2 linked regions of the Arabidopsis thaliana genome follow. The protein of the gene in region 1 interacts with the protein of each later gene in a pairwise test. Each region holds a gene or a part of one and is shown on either strand. Other genes may lie near its edges. The genes, in order: PAR2 and PRE1.

What was found.
Region 2: the proteins of PAR2 (region 1) and PRE1 interact in a two-hybrid assay, tested with the Arabidopsis thaliana proteins (one study listed by BioGRID).

The regions. Positions count from the first base shown.
Region 1 is NC_003074.8:21,754,650-21,764,641, reverse strand, and holds PAR2 (phy rapidly regulated 2), read left to right. Parts: upstream 1-4,251; 5' UTR 4,252-4,723; coding exon 4,724-5,080; 3' UTR 5,081-5,292; downstream 5,293-9,992. Other genes in the region: AT3G58860 (F-box/RNI-like superfamily protein), read left to right, coding at 1-226, 336-476, 559-900; PMD1 (Tropomyosin-like protein), read left to right, coding at 6,187-7,143; AT3G58830 (haloacid dehalogenase (HAD) superfamily protein), read left to right, coding at 7,990-8,659, 8,768-8,845, 8,933-9,006, 9,094-9,201, 9,354-9,470. UniProt on the Arabidopsis thaliana protein: Atypical bHLH transcription factor that acts as a negative regulator of a variety of shade avoidance syndrome (SAS) responses, including seedling elongation and photosynthetic pigment accumulation.
Region 2 is NC_003076.8:15,953,214-15,963,580, forward strand, and holds PRE1 (basic helix-loop-helix (bHLH) DNA-binding family protein), read left to right. Parts: upstream 1-4,154; 5' UTR 4,155-4,475; coding exon 4,476-4,601; intron 4,602-4,937; coding exon 4,938-5,090; 3' UTR 5,091-5,346; downstream 5,347-10,367. UniProt on the Arabidopsis thaliana protein: Atypical and probable non DNA-binding bHLH transcription factor that integrates multiple signaling pathways to regulate cell elongation and plant development.

The sequences.
Region 1 (9,992 bases):
CTGTTTAGGCACTTTGTCATTCGATACACCGAATCTTGTTTTCTTAGACTACTATGATTACGTTGCAGAGGATTATCCAATAGTAAACTTGAAAAACTTAGTTGAGGTTGGGATCAACCTTGTTCTTACTGCAGATCGAATCAATCGAGCAAGAGATAATGTGTGGAACCTAATTCATGGAATACAAAACGCTGAGATCTTTCACATATCCCCTGTTACTTTCGAGGTAAGTTTCCTATGTAACACTTATTTCAGCTAGTTTTTTTGTAAGAAGGAAAGCCGAAGATCATTGTCTCAATTCGTGGAGTACTGTATAACAATGTTTCTTGATTCAGGTGCTCTCTCTTTCCTGTGAAGCCATGCCGGTTTTTAAAAACCTTACCACTTTAAATATTAGGACTGTGATGCAGCAAGGATGGCAAGCAATGCCACTTCTTCTAAAGAACTGTCCAAATTTGGAAACTCTGTACCTTGGGGTATAAAACACCAAAACATTTTTCTTAGTTTCCCCGCTTTGGACTTTGGAAATCGCTTATAGTCTCCTTTATGCTTTTTCAGGGACTCTTGCACACTGTCACGAATAAATGCGGGGATGTTTGTGACTGCATTCCTAGAAAGAAGAAAGGGCGCTCGCTCATGGCTTGCCCTGTGAATAAGATACAGATTCAAGGATTTAGAGGAACAATCAGAGAGGTGCACATGATAAAGCATTTCTTGGACTTTTGTCCGAGTTTGAAGGAGATGGAGATAATTGTCGAAACAAAGGAACCTACTCTGTTTGAAATCCCTAAATGGCTTGAAATTGTCGAGGATACGCTGATGCAATACAACGAGATGTCGAGTTGCACTATTAATTACAGGGTGCTGGCTCCCTTGTACTGGAGGTGGACTCGAAAATGAAGTCTTGGAGGATGAAACTTGCTTTCGTTGTTTCTCTTTTTAGTTTTTTTTTTATTCTGCTTAAGTACGATTTGATTCATGTACTAGACAGAACCATTCCTGCTTCTCTACAATTTCAAAATTTTACGTTTTCACAATCTTTAGCTTTTAATAGGAGAATGCTCTACGCACGAACTTTTTATCTTTTTAATAGGAGAATGATCAAGTGTTATGGGAAAACTAAGTAATGCTTGAAGTACAAACTTTTGTTCTTTCCTAGTTGAATAATTAATGACTCTCTTTGGTTACAATACCTCTGTTTTCTAGTGTTTTATCGTTTGGACGTGAATCAGAATACTAGTATATGTTCTAGTATGTCAAAAATGTATACTAATACCAAAATTGGCTTTGATCGCTCGGAACAAATACATATCGTATGTTTCAAACCTGTTAGTACAAAAATATCACCGACACAAACTGTTACGTGTTTTTTTTTATAGAAAAAATTGTTTTGTTTCTGCTGTGGACAAACAACTTTGTTGTAGCCATACTTACCTGGTGACAGATAGGATGAGAATATGCGATCGTTGCACATGCACATGATGATGATCTTTATGATGAAATCACTTATGATGTTGATGATATTCTCATGGCAGATCCGACGCATGTGGGCTGTGGCAGTGGATCGCCCATGTCACGAGCATTACTTTGTTTTCTTCTTCCGGAGTCAATTAAAAACAAAATCTGCACTATACACTTAAATCTATTCTACATCAAAGAAAACCATATTTAATGTTCTTGTATAATGTGTGTAGTAGACCTTTTGTAGAATTTGCTTTTGTTTTGTTTATGTGAGCTAATACAGCAACAATTAACATCTGAAGAACGAATACATCCAAACACGTTCTCTTTTGGAATTAGTGATTTGCGTCTTTACCGTATCTAACCAAATCTGGTCCTCATTGACTATTCAAAAACGAATTAATTTCTGAAATAATGTCATTATCTCCAAGTTCCAGTGGACATTTGGACACTTCAAAATGCAATTTTAGTTTTTTAAAATAGTAATTTTATAGAGTTGTTAATCATTTTGTAATATGAGAAGATCAAAATATTTGTTTTTGATGACGATTATAACATTACAAGGTTTCCATCGGAGCTTATAAGATGTTTTGATCGTGGTGTGGGTTTAAAAATTCAGAAATAATATGAACATATGATTCTATTCATGCTAGAAGAAAAAAAAAAAAAATCGGATTTACAGACAATGTATGATGCAGATGGGATCCACACCCATGTAACCATTGTCCCAAAAGATCAACCGTCGTATTGGGTCTACTTGGTTGGCCCATATTTCTCACCCACAAAATGAGAAGACAAATAATCTGCAACTAATAAAACCATAACATATCATTTGTCTTTTGTCCTCTTCATCTTACTTTCTTTTCCATTCTTCCCCTCAAAAAAGACCAATGATCTCATCTCTCAACACCATTTCTTGTTTTAACAACGCACATTAACTAACCCCATTGATGTGACTATTAATTTAGATGACCAAAAAACATTTACTATAAAAACAGAAAAAATGTTTGATCAAAAAAATAAATAAAAAAAGAAGACAGAAAAGGTTGCGGTTGAATAATGATTAACCAATGCTAATAGAAGAGAGCTTTGGCTATGTAGAGCTTTGGCTATGTAGATCTTTTTAGGGTCGATTATTGATGCAAGTTTGTGTACATATTGATATAAATATCGTATTAACCCACCAATATAAAGACTAGAATTGGCGTAAGTGTCAGGTTGGTCGATGGTGAAAGAAACCAATACTGATAATCTCAATCCCAAGAAACCAACCCCCTCTCCGTTCCCTCCTTGGAAACATCACCTACCCTCGATTTTTTCTCTTGTAGTATATATTATCAAATTAATTGTTAAGTTATTAATATAGTTATAATTGTAAACTTCGATATAATAACATTAGATTTATGATGGTGAGGGAACTTCTTAAGTAACTAGTAATCTAGTATAACTATTTAGTAAATACGGAGTGTTACTATATCCATAGAATAAGAATAACAAAATAAGTAGTTAAACTTAAAAATTAAAATATAGCCTTGTGTTGAAAAAAATAAAAAAGAGGATGAACTCGAGTGAATTGTGCAAAGATTAATGCCGACATGAGGACGACTTTTCTCTATTCTCCTTTTTTTTTTGTTTTAAATGGTTTCTCTATAATAAACACTTCCTTGGAAATTCTTGGAAATAGTGAAAAAAAAGGGAGTTGACAAAAGATTTAGGGATAGAATAGTAGGAAATGAAAAGGTAGGTTCCATAAAAGATGTCACGTGGCTCCCATGCGAGATGGAAAATCATGTGGATCTTCTTCTGTGCAACTGCAACTAGTTAAGTAGATCATCATGGTACCAGTACCACCACCACTTCACTATCTACAACTGTATCTCTCTATTAATTCATTCCTCTCCCTATTATAAAGAGAGAGAGAGAGAGAGAGAGAGAGAGAGAGAGAGAGAGAGAGAGAGAGAGAGAGAGAGAGAGAGAGAGTGTATCATAATGTGTGTGGAAGTAAGAAAGAGAGGCACATGCGAGCTAATATTAAGATAGATGGAGAAACTCATGTGAGCACATGTGCTTTCCTTTTCTCTTTTCCTTTTTTACGGAGCTTTTGTGGCTCCCATCTCCTCTGCTCCCATGCACCTGTCGCAGGTGATTCCTCTCCTCCCTTCTTCTAACGTGCGAGAGAGAGAGAGTATGTGGGATTAGCTCTTTAATTTGTGATTAGTAATATACCATTCTTAACTAGATTTAAGTCAAGCTGAGCTCAAGTTTGAAACTTGAAATGTTAATTATGTAACCTAATATGATAATCAAATCAATATATAAGTTACAAGTTAAGATTGATTGTTTTCTTAATCTCACATTCTAAGGTCCATGCATCATCTTATATCTTCAACACATTTTTTAAAAAATCGCCTGATCCAAAAAAAATATGGATTATATAAGAGAATGGTCAAGCTAACTCTAATACATATTTTCATTCATTTTTGGTTTGAAATCTGGATGAAGAGCATGTATTGCATTTGTCGTATGCATGCATAATTAAGTTGTAAGATACAAATAACTAGCTTATCTTTATGGTGAAATATTGATTCAAACACATCATTAATGTTTCCGAAAAGAATACAAAACAAAGACCCACAAGTCAAAGTCTGGGTTAAGTTTTAAACACATGTCGATAACTCTATTATTACTAAACTAAGCATGTTACAAATTTGTTAATGACACGCATATTTTCAATTATGTATTAAACTTTTGTGATGTATAGTGTTTTAAAAGACAAATAAAGATACAATCTATCTATCTGTCAGGACCTCAGGGAGATCCACTTGAGTAAAGTGACGTCTCCACTAAACCACACAACATAGCGCGTGACAATCACGATCCAAAATCTCTCTTAATAAATAAACCAACAAAACAAACACTCCAACACATAATTCGAAACACTCAAGAACAAAAAAAGAAAAGAAAATCACAACTGGACCCAGCTTTGATGGCATACCGGCATTACCCAATTTCCAAAATTATAGCCAAACCCCAAACCTAAATCGCACAACCAAAACATAGTACTAAACTAAAGTCTTAACCAAACGCACTAAGATTCAGCTCATAATCAAATCATTAAAGGCAAACAAGAGTAAACCAAAGTAAAACGAACCGGAATGACTTTAACCGGTCCTACTTCAATCTACTAATTCACATCACTCATATAAATACACACAGGTCTCTTTACTCCTTTTCTTCCAACACATCTTCTCTCCCTCCGTCAATGGAGAAAACCCTAGCCACTTCCCATACCAAACGCTCTTCTCCTCCGTCTCCATCCTCCGCCGTGAACACAAGCTCCACTGGTTTCAACCGCAGAACCAGACAGAGATTGTCCGATGCAACGGCGAGTGTAAGCGAGACCGACGTAGAAGATGAAGATGAAGATGAAGAAGGAGTGGAGGAGAAGATCGAGGCGCTTCAGACAATAGTTCCCGGAGGAACGGAACTTGGTGTCGACGCGCTGTTCGAAGAGACAGCTAGTTACATTTTGGCTCTGCAATGTCAGATCAATGCCATTAAAGTTCTTACTACGTTTCTTGAGCGTTGTGAGAAAAAAGATATGAAGTTTGGAGGTTGAAGATTGAACAAACAATTTAGAATTCTGAAAATCAGAAGAAAAAAAAAAACAATTTGGAATTCTCTCTGTTTTTTCATTTATTTTCACCTTATATTTTTTTTTTTTATATATTGCTGTTTAGTTCGGGTTCATAATTTAGTTCTTAAAAAAAAAACAATCTTATGTGTTTTTATTCCAAAATATTACGAGAAATGAAAATTTTATCTCCACAATTTCTCCTTTGATATCTCAAATTCATATAAGTAATATAAGTATATAACTTTCGGTGCTCCAGCCATTAGATTTGATAAAACACATGCCAATAAAATGAAAATAATTGACATTTACACCAAAAAATGAAAATGAAAATGGTATAAAATTTAACATTTAATTTACATCAAATAAAGAAGTGAAAAATAATTATTTTTTTCTTTATCTTTATATTTAGTCACCAATAATATTGTCAGAAAAAACATATAAACTCATGAAACAAGGAAGCCAAAAAAAGAACTCATCGAACAAAGAATAAACGAACAATAATAACTCTGCAAGCGATAATAGCAGACTTGGGTCTGATAGAGCGCATTACCAATAAGGTTCAAAAAAAACATATATAAAACTCATGAAACAAGGAAGACAAAATAGAACTCACCGAACAAGAATAATAATAACTCTGCAAGCAACGATTTGGGCCTGATGGAGCTTAACTACTAATGGACCTTAAGGCCCATATAACAGAGATCACTGAAAATGATGCAGCCAAGTGGACTTGCTTTAAACACGTGGGTATTCAGGACCGCCCAATTTCTCAACGCCATTTGTTGTCACTCACTCTGTAAAGTATAAACCCTAAAAATCGAATCTTTCCGATTAGCCGATCCCTCCACCGGAAAATCGGAAGGTAAACCTCAATAGAATTCTCTTACTATTTTTTTGTTATTCGTCATACCAGATTTTTCCGATTAACGAAATGTCATTATCATCATCATGATGATTGATGTGTGAGATTGCTGGGAAAAAGTCAGAGTGACTGATTCTTCTCTAAAGCATCAAACTTTACATTTTGTTGAGTTATTCGTGTTATTGAGTCTTAATTCTGTGTTGAATTTTCTCTAGTAGAAGCGTAAATGGCGGATGTTGAAGATCGTGCGGCGAAGGGGATCTCTGACTACGATCAAGGTGGTGTAAAGACGACGGAACTGGAAAGGAAGATTGAGGATATGGAGAACAAGAATCAGGAGCTCACGAGAGAGAATCGTGAATTGAAGGAGAGGTTAGAGAGGCTTACGGGAGAAATTGAAGAGATGAAAGACGTAGAAGCGGAGATGAATCAGAGATTCGGAGAGATGGAGAAAGAGATCGAGGAGTACGAGGAAGAGAAGAAGGCTTTGGAAGCTATTTCTACTAGAGCTGTGGAGCTTGAAACTGAGGTGTCGAATCTTCATGACGATCTGATCACTTCCTTGAACGGAGTGGATAAGACGGCGGAAGAAGTGGCGGAGCTGAAGAAAGCGTTGGCGGAGATAGTGGAGAAGCTGGAGGGGTGTGAGAAGGAAGCTGAGGGTTTAAGGAAAGATAGAGCTGAGGTTGAGAAGAGGGTTAGGGATTTGGAAAGGAAGATTGGGGTTTTGGAAGTGAGGGAAATGGAGGAGAAGAGTAAGAAACTTAGATCAGAAGAGGAAATGAGGGAGATAGATGATGAGAAAAAGAGAGAGATTGAGGAATTGCAGAAGACAGTCATTGTTTTGAATCTGGAATTGGTGAAGAATGTAGAAGAATTGAAGAAATGGAAGTCTAAGAAGAAGCTCACGGAGGAAGCTTTGAGTGAAACTCAAAAACGAGAGAAGGAGCTGGAGTTGAAGAAGGACGAGTTACTGAAGAAGGTTGAGGAAGGTAACAAGACGGTTTTTGCTTTGAATGAGAGAACCATGAAGCCTAGTAATGGAGTCAGAGACACAAATGGTGGTGACCAAAAGGGTTCCTTGGAAGCTGAGTATCAGTGGCCAGTGGTTGCTGCTGGATCAGTTGGAGCTGCTGGTTTGGTTGCAGCGACCTTTTTCGTCTGCTATTCTAAGCTAAGGTGATTTTGATGAATATGTTAGTGAAAGAATAACTGATGACCAAGTTCTTAAGATTGATATCTGGGATGGAATTATATAGGTTGGCTACAAATTTGTTTTGGGTTTGGATTTGAGTTTGTGATGTTTGTTGGTTGTTGGCTATCATACTTTTGTTGATGAGATCAGCATTTGGTAACTGTTCTTTATCACTTCTACTCTGTCTTAAGATTGATTTCAGGAATGGATTTACACAGGTTTGCCACAAATTTCTTTGGGTTTGGATTTGAGTTTGTTATGTTTGTTGGTAGTTTGGCTAGCATGGTTTTGTGAATGGGAACAGATAAAAACTTCACCTTATAATATGCCACAAAATGCATTTCGGAACCGTTCGTCATCACTTCTTCTTGTCTTCTATTTACTGGATTTTAAGAGAAACATGATTCAAACAGAATTGCTTGGCCAGTATAGTTCTTTATCCTAAGTCCACGAGTACTAACTTTACATTAGAACCGTTTTAAAATTGCTTCTTGGAAGAGCATATCAAGGGACCGTTTTTGGATTCAGATACTTCAAAATCTGCAACACGCATAGTGGATGGAGATGCCATGAAATGAATGTGTTGAAAGGTGACCATTTTAAGACAAGAGGGACACATGAGCAAAACATACAATTTGACTTGTCAATTTGTTAAGGTTAATTTGACTAGTGTCCGTTTATATTTTTGGAAATCAAAGCGTGTGGAAGGAAAAGAGTCATCATATTTTTCTAAAACAGCTCCAAGAAATCTGGAAATTCTCGATAAACAACTTACAACTACATTTTAGGGTCAATAAAAGTAAAACAACAATATTTATTATAAAGAAGGCTGAGATGCAGACCCCATCGATGGCTGCCTCCACTACTTCCTACTACCCAATCCCCAAAAGCTTCCTTCTTTCTCCTCCTCGTCACAAACGAAACCCTAATCTCATCTCCTGCTCCACCAAACCCATTTGCTCTCCTCCTCCTCCTTCGTCTTCTTCTTCGTCTCCTCTGCAAACGACGACAACCCATCGAAGCCAAAAGCAGAATCTGCGTCTACCCACGTTTGAAGATTCGTTTCTTCTTTACCAATTTAGCTCTCCCACCGAAGACCCAGGATTCTCTAACCGGATCCCGGAACAATTCGACGGAGAGCCACGCGAATTGGTGTTGCCGAGAGTAGAAGACAACAACAAAGGGTTGGCAATTTCGTCGAACATGTGGTGGGCAGATCTGAAAGCGGCTCTTGGGCAACGAATCAATATTGAGGGTATCGTTTCTTCGGTCTCCGTTGTTGTTAAAGATCGTCAATTTGTTCTTCCGCATGTTTCTGTGAAAGATTTAAGATACATTGATTGGGAAGTGCTGAAGAGAAAGGGCTTCAAAGGTGTAGTGTTTGATAAAGATAACACTCTTACGGCTCCTTATTCTCTAGCGATTTGGCCACCATTACGTCCTTCCATTGAGCGGTGTAAAGCCGTTTTTGGCCATGACATCGCCGTGTTTAGCAATTCCGCTGGTAACATTTGGATAAAGTTTTGAATTTTTTTTGTTTGTTTGTCTGGTTTTTGTTGGAGTTTAAGCTAACATCTTTTGTTTACTTTCGGGTTTGGTGAAATACTATCAGGGCTCACGGAATACGATCATGATGATTCGAAAGCTAAAGCATTGGAGGCTGAAATAGGAATTAGAGTGTTGAGGCATAGTAAGTGACTTGTTCTGATCTACTGTGGTTACCTTGGATGTTTTAGCATTGTAACTGATAAGGATTGTTTTTGAATCATGATTTTAGGAGTGAAGAAGCCTGCAGGAACTGCTGAAGAAGTTGAGAAACACTTTGGTTGCACATCTTCAGAGCTAATCATGGTAATTTCATGATGAGTGTTAGGGATTAAACTGGTAATTTGATTTTTGGTAGATAAGATCTTTATGTGTTTAAGTGTTTGTGGGCAGGTGGGTGATCGACCTTTCACAGATATCGTTTACGGGAACAGAAACGGATTTCTAACCGTATTAACCGAGCCTTTGAGTCGAGCTGAGGAGCCTTTCATTGTTAGACAGGTTGGTTTTTATCTCCTCTTCCTTAACTGTACACTTTGGTTTACTGATTCAGGGGAAGTAAGCACATAACTATTTTCTGCATCTCACTTTTAGCTTTCCAAAAATGTTGTACAATATAGCTGAATGGGGTTATTTCATTTTTTTTGTTGCAGGTGAGGAGATTAGAGTTGGCCTTGTTGAAACGTTGGTTGAGAAAAGGTTTGAAGCCTGTGGATCATAGTTTGGTATCAGATATAACACAGTTTGTTAAAGTTCCATCAGATTTGTAAGAAGGATTCTCATTTTGCTATTGCAACAACAACTTTGTTCCTTGTTTTTTTTTTGTAATTGAAATTTTGAGTTTGGGTTTTGGCCAAATGCATCATGATAAAAAATGCCATTTTTGATATTGTACTTGTATTTTTATACCCGCAAGATCTTCATATCAGGGGTCTTCATAGTTAAAAGAACATTTACGCAAAGAGGTATGGAATCAAAAAAATGTGATGTTTCGGAAAAAAGTTGTATATCTTTTGCGATGAAAACGGTTAAGTCTTCCTATATTGAGCTTAAGATGATTGGTATGTTGTAGCTTATTAGCCACGTCATTCGAAAAAAAAAGGTAAAGACGTCACAAAGAACAACTCAGCAAATTTGTGGCGAAGAATCAATTGAAGTAAGCCATCGATAGTAAATTACTATAAACATTCGGAGAAAAAGAATAAGAAAGTTCAATGGTTTTGCAATTGGTTTGGTTTTTTGAACGGTTTTCAAGCCAATTAAACAAAAGAACCGGAATGAATTTCCATGGG
Region 2 (10,367 bases), on another chromosome or scaffold:
TAGTTAGATAGTAAAGCTTTTTTGCTGTTGATGAGCATGAGGCTCATTGTTTTGGAGAAGCCTATGCAAAGCATGATTGTGTAATAATTATGAGAGAAAAATGGTTAAAGGGGACCATGAAATATATATTGGTCTATACCTGGACCATAATGTGTTACGTATTCCTTATTATTAAGAGTTGATACCTACTATTGAAAAATATACGAGTGAAAAATCCAGATCTTCGTGTAGATATATCATTTAAATTCCTTTTTTTAACTAGATAAATATACCAAAGTAAAAAATTTATTTACTATTGAAGTCTTTTCTTTTAATAAATTAGAGTCACTCAGTAAAAATGATTTTTTTCTTAACTAGATAAATATATCAAAATAAAAAAACTTTATTACCATTGAAGTATTTTCTTTTAATAAATTGGAGTCACTCCGTAAAAATGATCCTTAACTTAATTGTAAAGTATTTAATTTAACTTAATTGTTGGTTTTGCCATTTTTTGAATAGTTTGTAGATTTTGTATATTTTAAGACAACAAAAATGTGATTTAAGATGCGTTTTACTCGTTTGGATTTAATCATTTTAATTTATATAAAAGACATATTTTTGCAAAAACAATTCGTAATATGTACACTTAAGTGTTAAAAAATGGCAGAATTCGTAAACTATTCAAAATATTATTGTTAGATTTTTTTTTTAAACGGCATTTTAGACAAGAATCCCTATTTACCTAGAGTCTTCAATTTGAATTTAGAAAATATGGAATTAAATTTAATGTACTTTCTTAATGATACTTACTGTAAATAGATAGAATTACATAGATGTATCAGTATCTTCTTAATTGCCATTGTAGTAACACGGCAAAAGTCTACCGTTTTACGTGTGTGCACACACACTACACAATCTGTCGATGCTTTGTTTGTGATGTGATTATGTGAATATATGATGGCGAAACAATTCTTATCAAGGGACATGTTATCCGTGGAATTTGTTCGACATTTCCAGCGTAATTCGAATACTCATGCTAAATCCAGAGAAACATTTCGCAGTTATAAATATAATTGTTGGACATCTTATGTGTGTTGTATATTTCGACCTGATCAAATATTTATAAATATAATTGAATAATTCAAATCTTTGAACATAGAATCGAAGATGCCGTTTTGACGACTTTTTCAATGTTTTTTTTTAATTGTTATTTTATTCACTGCGAAGATATGATTGGTGCCATTAATGCATATTATCGTACTATAGTGTTTTTGTAATTCATTGGAAAAAAAAAAAATTGCTCAACTTTTCCAAAGTGAGTTTTTATAAATTACTTATTTAACGAGTCCTTCATTTCCACATGATTACTCGTGTTTTTTACAACATGTTTGTAAAGATGTGAATTAATTGCGAAAAAGTAGACACAAAAACATTGTGGAGCCTATGAGACCAAACATTTAGTACCCGAACCCACATGGACTAACATGTAAAATCTCCCTTTGCAATTTATTAGAATGGTCACTTTCTTTAATAATCTTGTATATATAAAACACACACACACACACCAACACACTTTTATATATATTCTTGTATTCACACATATAAGAAAAATTGATAAATGTTTTCTTTAATTATGTGCTTTATTAAAAAATTGTATGAATTAATGTTCTCGTTGAATTTTTGTGGTGGATAGATCATTGACATATATATGGTGTACTTACTATACTGTTGTCATTCTCTTGAATTATAAGTGTGAATTTCATGTCGGATGATATCGGTTAGAGTAATGAAATGTTTGGCTATATAACAAGCACAACGATGGAGAAAATAATTTTCTTATATATTTAGTATATATTGAGCAAAAAGTACTTTTAATAAGTAACGTAACGTAACATTGATTTCGTTAACTATGAATATAATCCGATCCATGTCATGCAAACCTGTCGGAAGAGAACCATTCTCACTTATATTTTCTTGTTGGTGAGAATATATTAAACTGTTATTGAATTACTAATGAAATAGAATGTTGTGATAAATTAATACACCACACAAACGAAATATTTTGAGGGATAATGAGGGATTTCGAAATTTATATAACCTTTCATAATAATAATAATATGTTCAAACAGATAATTGTATTCGACTGTTACATACTTGTCGGATCTTTATTGATAATGTTATTGGACAACAAGATATCTAAAATTTTGATCTTATGGACCCGAGGGCAGCATGTAACACGAGACATGGTGGTGACACGTGACATAGTCGATGTTTTGTGAACATTTATATAAATTAATACTCAACCAATAATGGACCAATCGAACAATTAAATTAAGTTATATGAGACATGCGATTTTATTCACTTCAAAATAAAAAAATTCTTTAAATAAATTATTTTAGGCAAAGTGTAAGTGTGCGAAGAAGTTTGAAATAAATGGTCTGAACGAAGTTTTAAAGCCGATAGATACGTTTCTTTTAAGCATTTGGTTTCCTTTTCACGTTTTATAAAAGAATTAATTATGGATTTACCATTTTTTGAATGATATTTATGGATTTTGTCATTTTTTAAATAATTTGTGGATTTTGCTCTTTTTCAGTCTAAAAAATGAAATTTAGCATAGCTTTTATTCGTTATATTAAGGTTTAGTCGAGTTTTTTTTTTGTTTTTTAAGTTTAGCATTTAATATAAAATACTTATTTTTGTAAAAATAATATCGTAAATACGTACATTTATAAGTACTAAAATGACAATTTCGTAAAATTTTAGTAAAAATGACTTTTTCAAAAGATTTTGATGAAAACGGCAAAATCAACAATAATCCTTTTATAGAAAATATTTGTTTTATATCTACTATTTTTAAGTTACATTGACATTCTATAATTTTTTAAAAGTTATCACACGAAATATTTTACATATGAGGTGAAACTATTTATGGCTTAGCAGTTAGAAAACAATGTTCCATAGGAGTCAATAATTAGGCTTCTTCCTTTCTAAAACAAATGTAGTTAGTATGGAAGATAGAATTTACATAATTCTCTCTATGCTTTTTTATACAAGTTTGGAACTATATATTTTATACAAGTTTAAAATATATAGTTTGGTAATATACAAGATTTACAGATAAATATACAAACTGTACCTAGATATTGTGGAATACAAATTTAGAGAGACAATTTAGGCGATAATACTAGTTCTAATATTAGAAGAAAAAAAATTGAATGAAAAGTCATGTCATCACATGGTAGTTGCCTTTTTGTGAAATTGCAGATGAAGGGCCACAATGTTAGATGAACATGAAACACTTATCTTGACCTTCATCAACCCCATCTTTGGGAACTTTTCGTTTCCTCCATTTAACTATTCAAATCTCCTCCAATTATTCAAAAAATTTAGTACCCATTTATTTATCCACTCTATAGGAATTATACTGTAAAATTTTCAATAACTAAGCATATGTATATTTGTGATCCATTCTAGTCATAATCATTTTCTTTTTTTTTGGATAGTTGAGGCATAAAAAGTTGGGGTTTTGGTAAAACAAATCCTAAGAGAAATCTATTTTTGTAATTTTACCCTCTACTTCTAAAATATGCAGAATAATCATAAAAAAACAAAAATAATACGCAATATATTCCTTATACATATATTGTAAACGTATTCACGATCACATACATTTTAAAAAATCTAAATTAAAGAAGAGTTGAACTCTTTGTCTCGAGGGCTTCGATTTGATATAATACTTCTCAATTTTTTTAAAACTTGACGAAATCTGACAATAGCAAAAAATGTTATATTGCGTAGTATTTTTCACTTTGTAAAATTATTCTATATTTTCTGAAAGTAGAAATGGACGATTTCAAGACTTATTTTCCACAAAATCCTAAAAAGTTACGAATCTTGAAACTTGTGTATCATTTGAACTATACACAATAACTAACTAACCATGATTGAAAACGTTGTGAAATAATTCAATCCCGCCATTACCTTCGTATAATGATTGGTAATAGTCTCGACTGATGATATGTATATATACGGCTTGGAAATCTGTAATAAAAAATGATTTCGAAGTTTTGTGGTTTAAGGGCATTCAATCTATCGCTTTCTTCTCCCGTGACATCATTGTCGAGGTTTATTGCTGCTCTCCGTCGCTCTCTCTCTCTTGTGGTCCATTGGCCTATTTAAATCTCTCTTATCACATTCTCAATTTCTTTATATTTGAAGTGTATTCAAAACCCCAAAACACTTTTCTCATTCTCTTCTCTATTTTCTTCTTGCTCTCTAGTTTTTCTTTCTTCTTGGTCGTTTCCTTTCAGCATAAAAACCTTATAAAATCATAAAAGCTTACACCTACTTGCCACATAGACATAGCCGATCTCATTATATCTCTATTTCTATTTCTCAATAGAACTTGTTTGAGCTAGTGTGAGAGAAGTAAAGAAAGAGAGAAGAATCCACAACTTAGTTAGGGTCTTTTCTTGCCACATTGTTGAACATGTCGAACAGAAGATCAAGGCAATCTTCAAGTGCTCCAAGGATCTCCGATAATCAAATGATTGACCTCGTATCTAAGCTCCGTCAAATTTTGCCGGAGATTGGTCAACGACGTCGTTCTGATAAGGTATCACGCATAATATATGCATATATTCATTTATAACGACCATTTAACATTATCCATCGTGTAAACCTATCCAAAAAAGGAAAGAACAAAAGTTTTGTAAAAAGAAGAGTGGACACTAAAATCAAACAAGAAAGAAAAAAGAAGTCGGAACTTTTGACTCCGGACATTAAGGAACATATATACCAATATTCACAACCTTTTTCTTCCATATTTACATAAGAGATTACATCAAAATCATCAGCTTGCATGCATCTGCAAACGCATAAAAGCGCATGCATTGGTTCAAAAAACATATATTATAATGATTATGATTTTATTTCGTTTTTGTTGTTGAAGGCATCAGCCTCGAAAGTATTGCAAGAGACATGCAATTACATACGAAATTTGAACAGAGAAGTTGACAATCTGAGCGAGCGTTTGTCTCAGCTTCTCGAATCTGTCGATGAAGATAGCCCTGAAGCCGCCGTTATTAGAAGCCTACTCATGTAATCTTTTTTGTTCTTTTGTTTGTTTTTGACAAGCCTATCCATGTAATCTTAAATGATCGCTCTATAATAATTATATTTTTAACATAATCGTCTTATTATGTAAAATTCAAAGAGATGGGCTTGATCTTTAATGACATACGAATTTCATAGGGTTAATTCCATAGTCAAAAGTCTCCGACATATATGTGTGTAGCAGAACTGCACGAGCATTGCCTTAGCAGGTGCATTATTAAAATAAACCAGTGGGATGAAATTTGGTGGAGAAGAATCTTTCTTTTTTTCTCCCTAACAAAGAAAAAAAAAACAGAGATTGTGATGTCTGAACTCGATTGTGTCAGTCAAGGACAGTAAAATTGCGAGAGGACATTGTTAGTTGCGAGCATTTAATTTTATACGGAATAAAAAAAGTTATTTGGCACATTGTTTTTGAGGTAACAAATCATCTAAACCTCAAAATAGAGATAAAAAGCAAAAATAGAAATAGAAGACAAAATCAAATAAACTCTTAGCCATTTTGGAGGGGAAAAGAAACCCCATCTTAACTGTCACAAAAACGTTTATACACATCTAAAGGAAAGTTTTGCCTTTTAGGACGTCCACACAAAGAAATTAAATAAAAATCAACGTTATAGTTTTATTTGATATCTCATAATTCTACATGCATGTAGTTTAAAGTTTAAACACACGTATACGCATATTGATATACATGCACCCATGTACATACATTTAGACAAGTTTGGTCCTTTCAAGGCGTAGGAGACTGGTCAAATCTATCACTCCTAATTTTAAGCCATATAGCTATACCGGTTTGGTCCTTTCAGGGTTTAGGAGACTGGTCAAATCCGACTCCTAATTTTAAGCCATATAGCTATAAAAATAATCACAAGAAGAATTACATGAAAAAGGAGAGCATTCAGAGACTAGCTTTGTTACACTCTTCCACCTAAAACGATCTTAATTTTTTTTTCTTGTTACATAGATACAATTTTCAGGTCTTGTACCCTTTTTGAATTATTATTGTAAAATTTTGAGATATACTAAATAGAATAATTAAATAGCGGAAACGATTTAAACAATAGAGCAATAACGAAACGACACAATATTTAACAAGGTATCGGTTGGTTCTCTTTCAAACCAACCACTAGTCCTCGGCTGCAACAAAAGTTTATTAGATCACTTCAAGAAGTAAAAGATATACTTAGAATTTCTACAGTAAATTCAAATACATCTGTATCTAAGAACATGAACTAAGGTTAACAAGTAAACTCATTTTACTTCCCTTTAATCATGTATGAATTCTTCTTGGAGAAGTCTTTCCAAGGTGATCTCTCCCCAAACTCCACAGCGACACAAGTTTCACACAAACTTATCAAACACTCTGTTTTCTATTTCTCTGTTTTAACAGCAATCTTTTGTATCTTGAAAATTGGAGATGATGCTTGCAACACGTTGTCCTTATCCACCACAAAAGCAGAGTATATATATGAATATGACTCTTACAGAGAGCATCAAGGAAACAATTTGGATAAAAAGATTGCTATAATAATTGGTTCTTTGCAATCAAAATATGAAGTGAACTGTGACAGTCCAAGAGCTATATATGTTTGTCTAAAAATATGAAACGGGAACATATAGAAGTTGAGCTACACTTCATAAGGGATATGACCAAGATTGGTACTCTCTGGTCAATCCTACTGACATATTGTGTAAGGACAAAGTTGTGTAATGACATCAGAAGCAGGTAAATGAATATTAGATGTAACCGTTTGTCGAGGTGGAGATTTGTTGATTATTTCAACCAAAGACTCAAGAAGCTTAGAGAGTGAAGCTTTGGTTATGGAGGTTTTAGCTAAGTTAGTGTAAACGTCATTAAGTTATGTTTTCTTTATAGTAAAACAGGCTAAAACAATATAAAATACAAATTACAGTACTCTGTTATGTTTTTTTTTTTTTAATCAATTTCCAAGATACTTCCTACACGGGGAAACAACTTTTAGAATCTTTCTCCCATAAATAAAGTTCCTTGCGAAACACGTCGTTGGACTACCGAGGTCCAATGGCCGAATAGGTTACTTCTGCCACAGTCCAAGATTCTTCGTTTCGCTTCTTTCGTGACGAGGAGGAACCAGTCTCAAGTTGACTTTTACGGACTAAATAACCAGGCGGTCCAGGCGGAGCGATCTCTATTGTGTCGCTTGCGAACATGACAGAGATTGATAGCATCGTGGGCCTATCCTCAGCACATTCTTGAACACACAAGAGACCAATCTGTATGTATCTTTTAACTTGGTGTTGTTGAAATGTTGATGAATCAAGGATAATTTGATCTATGATTTCGAGCCCTTTACCTTCCTTCCAATTCCTCCATATCTATTCATCATAAACAAAGCTTTAAGCGTTTATATCAATCACAATAAAAAATATAAAAAAAAGACGAAAATGCTTTGGATGATTATTACACTTACATATGTAATAAGACTTTCGTCGTTCTCCGAGTATCTATAAAAGTCTCTGTTTTTAACCCCAAATATAATCTCAAGAAGCAAGACTCCGAAGCTGAAAACATCTGACTTTGTTGAATAAATCCCTTCCTCCGCGTATTCCGGAGACATATAGCCGCTTTGTCAAGCAACAAGAAACACAATTGTGAGGTTTTGTAAAGTGTTTGCTTTATTTTCAAATGTAACGATGATAGTTTGTTTGCTTACTAAGTTCCGACGATCTTTGTTGTGTTAGCTGCTGTCGCACGCTTGTCGAAGAGTTTACTCATCCCAAAATCTGATATCTTCGGAACCATATCTTGGTCAAGTAAGACGTTGCTCGGTTTTAGGTCTCTATGGACAATAGGACGCCGCGAATCTTGGTGAAGATATAAAAGTCCCCGAGAGATTCCATTAATTATTTGGACCCTCTTCTCCCAGTTTAGCTTAGAGCTTTGGTTTTTGTCTAAGAAAATGTCACAACCAAAATCACATTAGTTTCTTTTCAATAACTCTTAATACAACTACTTAAACTGTGAGGCACTAACCGAATATATACTTATCGAGGCTGAGTTTTCCAAGTACTCATATATTAAAATCATCTCACCGATCATATGGACTCTCCGATCATTCGTGATAAACCATGGATAATTTTTGGAGATTTTAATGAAATTTTGGATATGGATGAGCACTCTCGAATGGAAGATCACCCAGCAGTTACCTCCGGTATGCGAGATTTTCAGTCTTTGGTGAACTACTGCTCATTCTCAGACTTGGCATCTCACGGGCCCTTTTTACTTGGTGCAATAAGAGAGATAATGACCCAATTTGGAAAAAACTGGATAGAGTTATGGTGAATGAGGCTTGGAAGATGGTCTACCCACAATCTTATAATGTTTTTGAAGCGGGAGGGTGTTCTGACCATTTACGGTGTCGTATCAATTTTAAATATGAACTCTGGTGCACAAGTGAGAGGAAATAAGCCTTTTAAGTTTGTGAATGCTGTGGCCGATATGGAGGAGTTTAAACCTTTGGTGGAAAATTTTTGGACAGAAACAGAGCCTATACACATGTCCACGTCGTCCCTGTTCCGGTTCACTAAGAAGCTCAAGGCTCTTAAACCAAAACTTCGAGGCTTGGCGAAGGAAAAAATGGGCAATTTGGTGAAAAGGACGAGAGAAACCTATCTCAGTCTTTGTCAGGCGCAACAGAGTAATTCACAAAATCCATCTCAAAGAGCTATGGAAATAGAATCGGAAGCTTATGATCGTTGGGACAGGATAGCTAGCATTGAAGAGAAGTATCTTAAGCAGGTATCAAAGTTTCATTGGTTAAAGGTTGGGGATAAAAACAATAAAACTTTCCATCGCGCAGCAACCGCTAGAGCAGCTCAAAACTCTATTCGCGAAATTCAGAAGGAAGATGGTAGTACTGCCACAACTAAAGATGATATCAAGAACGAGGCTGAAAGGTTTTTTCGAGAATTTCTTCAGCTAATCCCGAATGATTATGAGGGAATAGCAGTGGAGAAATTAACATCTCTATTGCCTTATCGTTGTTCCACAGCGGAAAAGGATATGCTCACTGCAACAGTTTCAGCAGAAGAGATAAGGGGAGCCTTATTCTCAATGCCAAATGATAAATCTCCGGGTCCGGACGGTTACACTTCTGAATTCTACAAGCAGGCATGGGATATAATTGGTGCAGAATTTGTTTTGGCAGTCAAATCATTTTTTGAAAAGGGTTTTCTACCAAAGGGTGTTAATACTACCATTCTAGCTCTCATCCCAAAGAAACTGGAGGCGAAAGAAATGAAAGACTATCGACCGATATCGTGCTGCAACGTCATTTATAAAGTCATCTCAAAAATCATTGCAAATAGATTGAAACATGTTCTCCCGAATTTCATCGCGGGAAACCAATCTGCATTTGTAAAAGACCGGCTCCTAATTGAGAATCTGCTATTAGCCACAGAGTTAGTAAAGGACTATCACAAGGACACAATTTCGGGTCGATGTGCTATTAAAATCGACATTTCGAAGGCTTTTGATTCTGTTCAGTGGTCATTTCTTAAAAACGTTTTGTTGGCTTTGGACTTTCCACCGGAGTTTGTTCATTGGGTTATGCTTTGTGTTACTACGGCTTCTTTTTCGGTGCAAGTCAATGGAGAATTGGCAGGCTATTTTCAAAGTTCAAGAGGTCTACGTCAGGGTTGCTCTCTTTCCCCTTATCTATTTGTTATAAGCATGGATGTTCTATCAAAAATGCTTGATCAAGCAACAGAAGCAAAGCAAATTGGCTACCACCCGCGGTGTAAAAGTATTGGTCTGTCCCACTTGAGCTTTGCTGATGATCTCATGATCCTTTCGGACGGAAAAGTTCGATCTATAGAGGGTATTGTGAAAGTTTTTGACGTTTTTGCTAAAAGTTCAGGTTTAAAAATTAGTATGGAGAAGACAACCATATATCTAGCGGGAACTTCAGAAGTGTCTCACCAATGGATCAAAGACCGGTTCAGTTTTGATGTAGGGACTCTACCGGTGAGGTATTTGGGACTCCCTCTAGTAACCAAATGCCTAACGGCTGCAGATTACTTACCTCTTATAGAACAGCTTAAAAAGAAGATTGGGTCATGGACAGCTAGATTTCTTTCCTACGCCGGTCGCTTAAACTTGATAAGCTCGGTCCTATGGAGCATTTGTAACTTTTGGCTTGCTGCGTTCCGGCTCCCGCGAAAATGTATCAGAGAAATCGATAAGTTATGTTCTGCTTTCCTCTGGTCTGGTCCGGATTTAAAT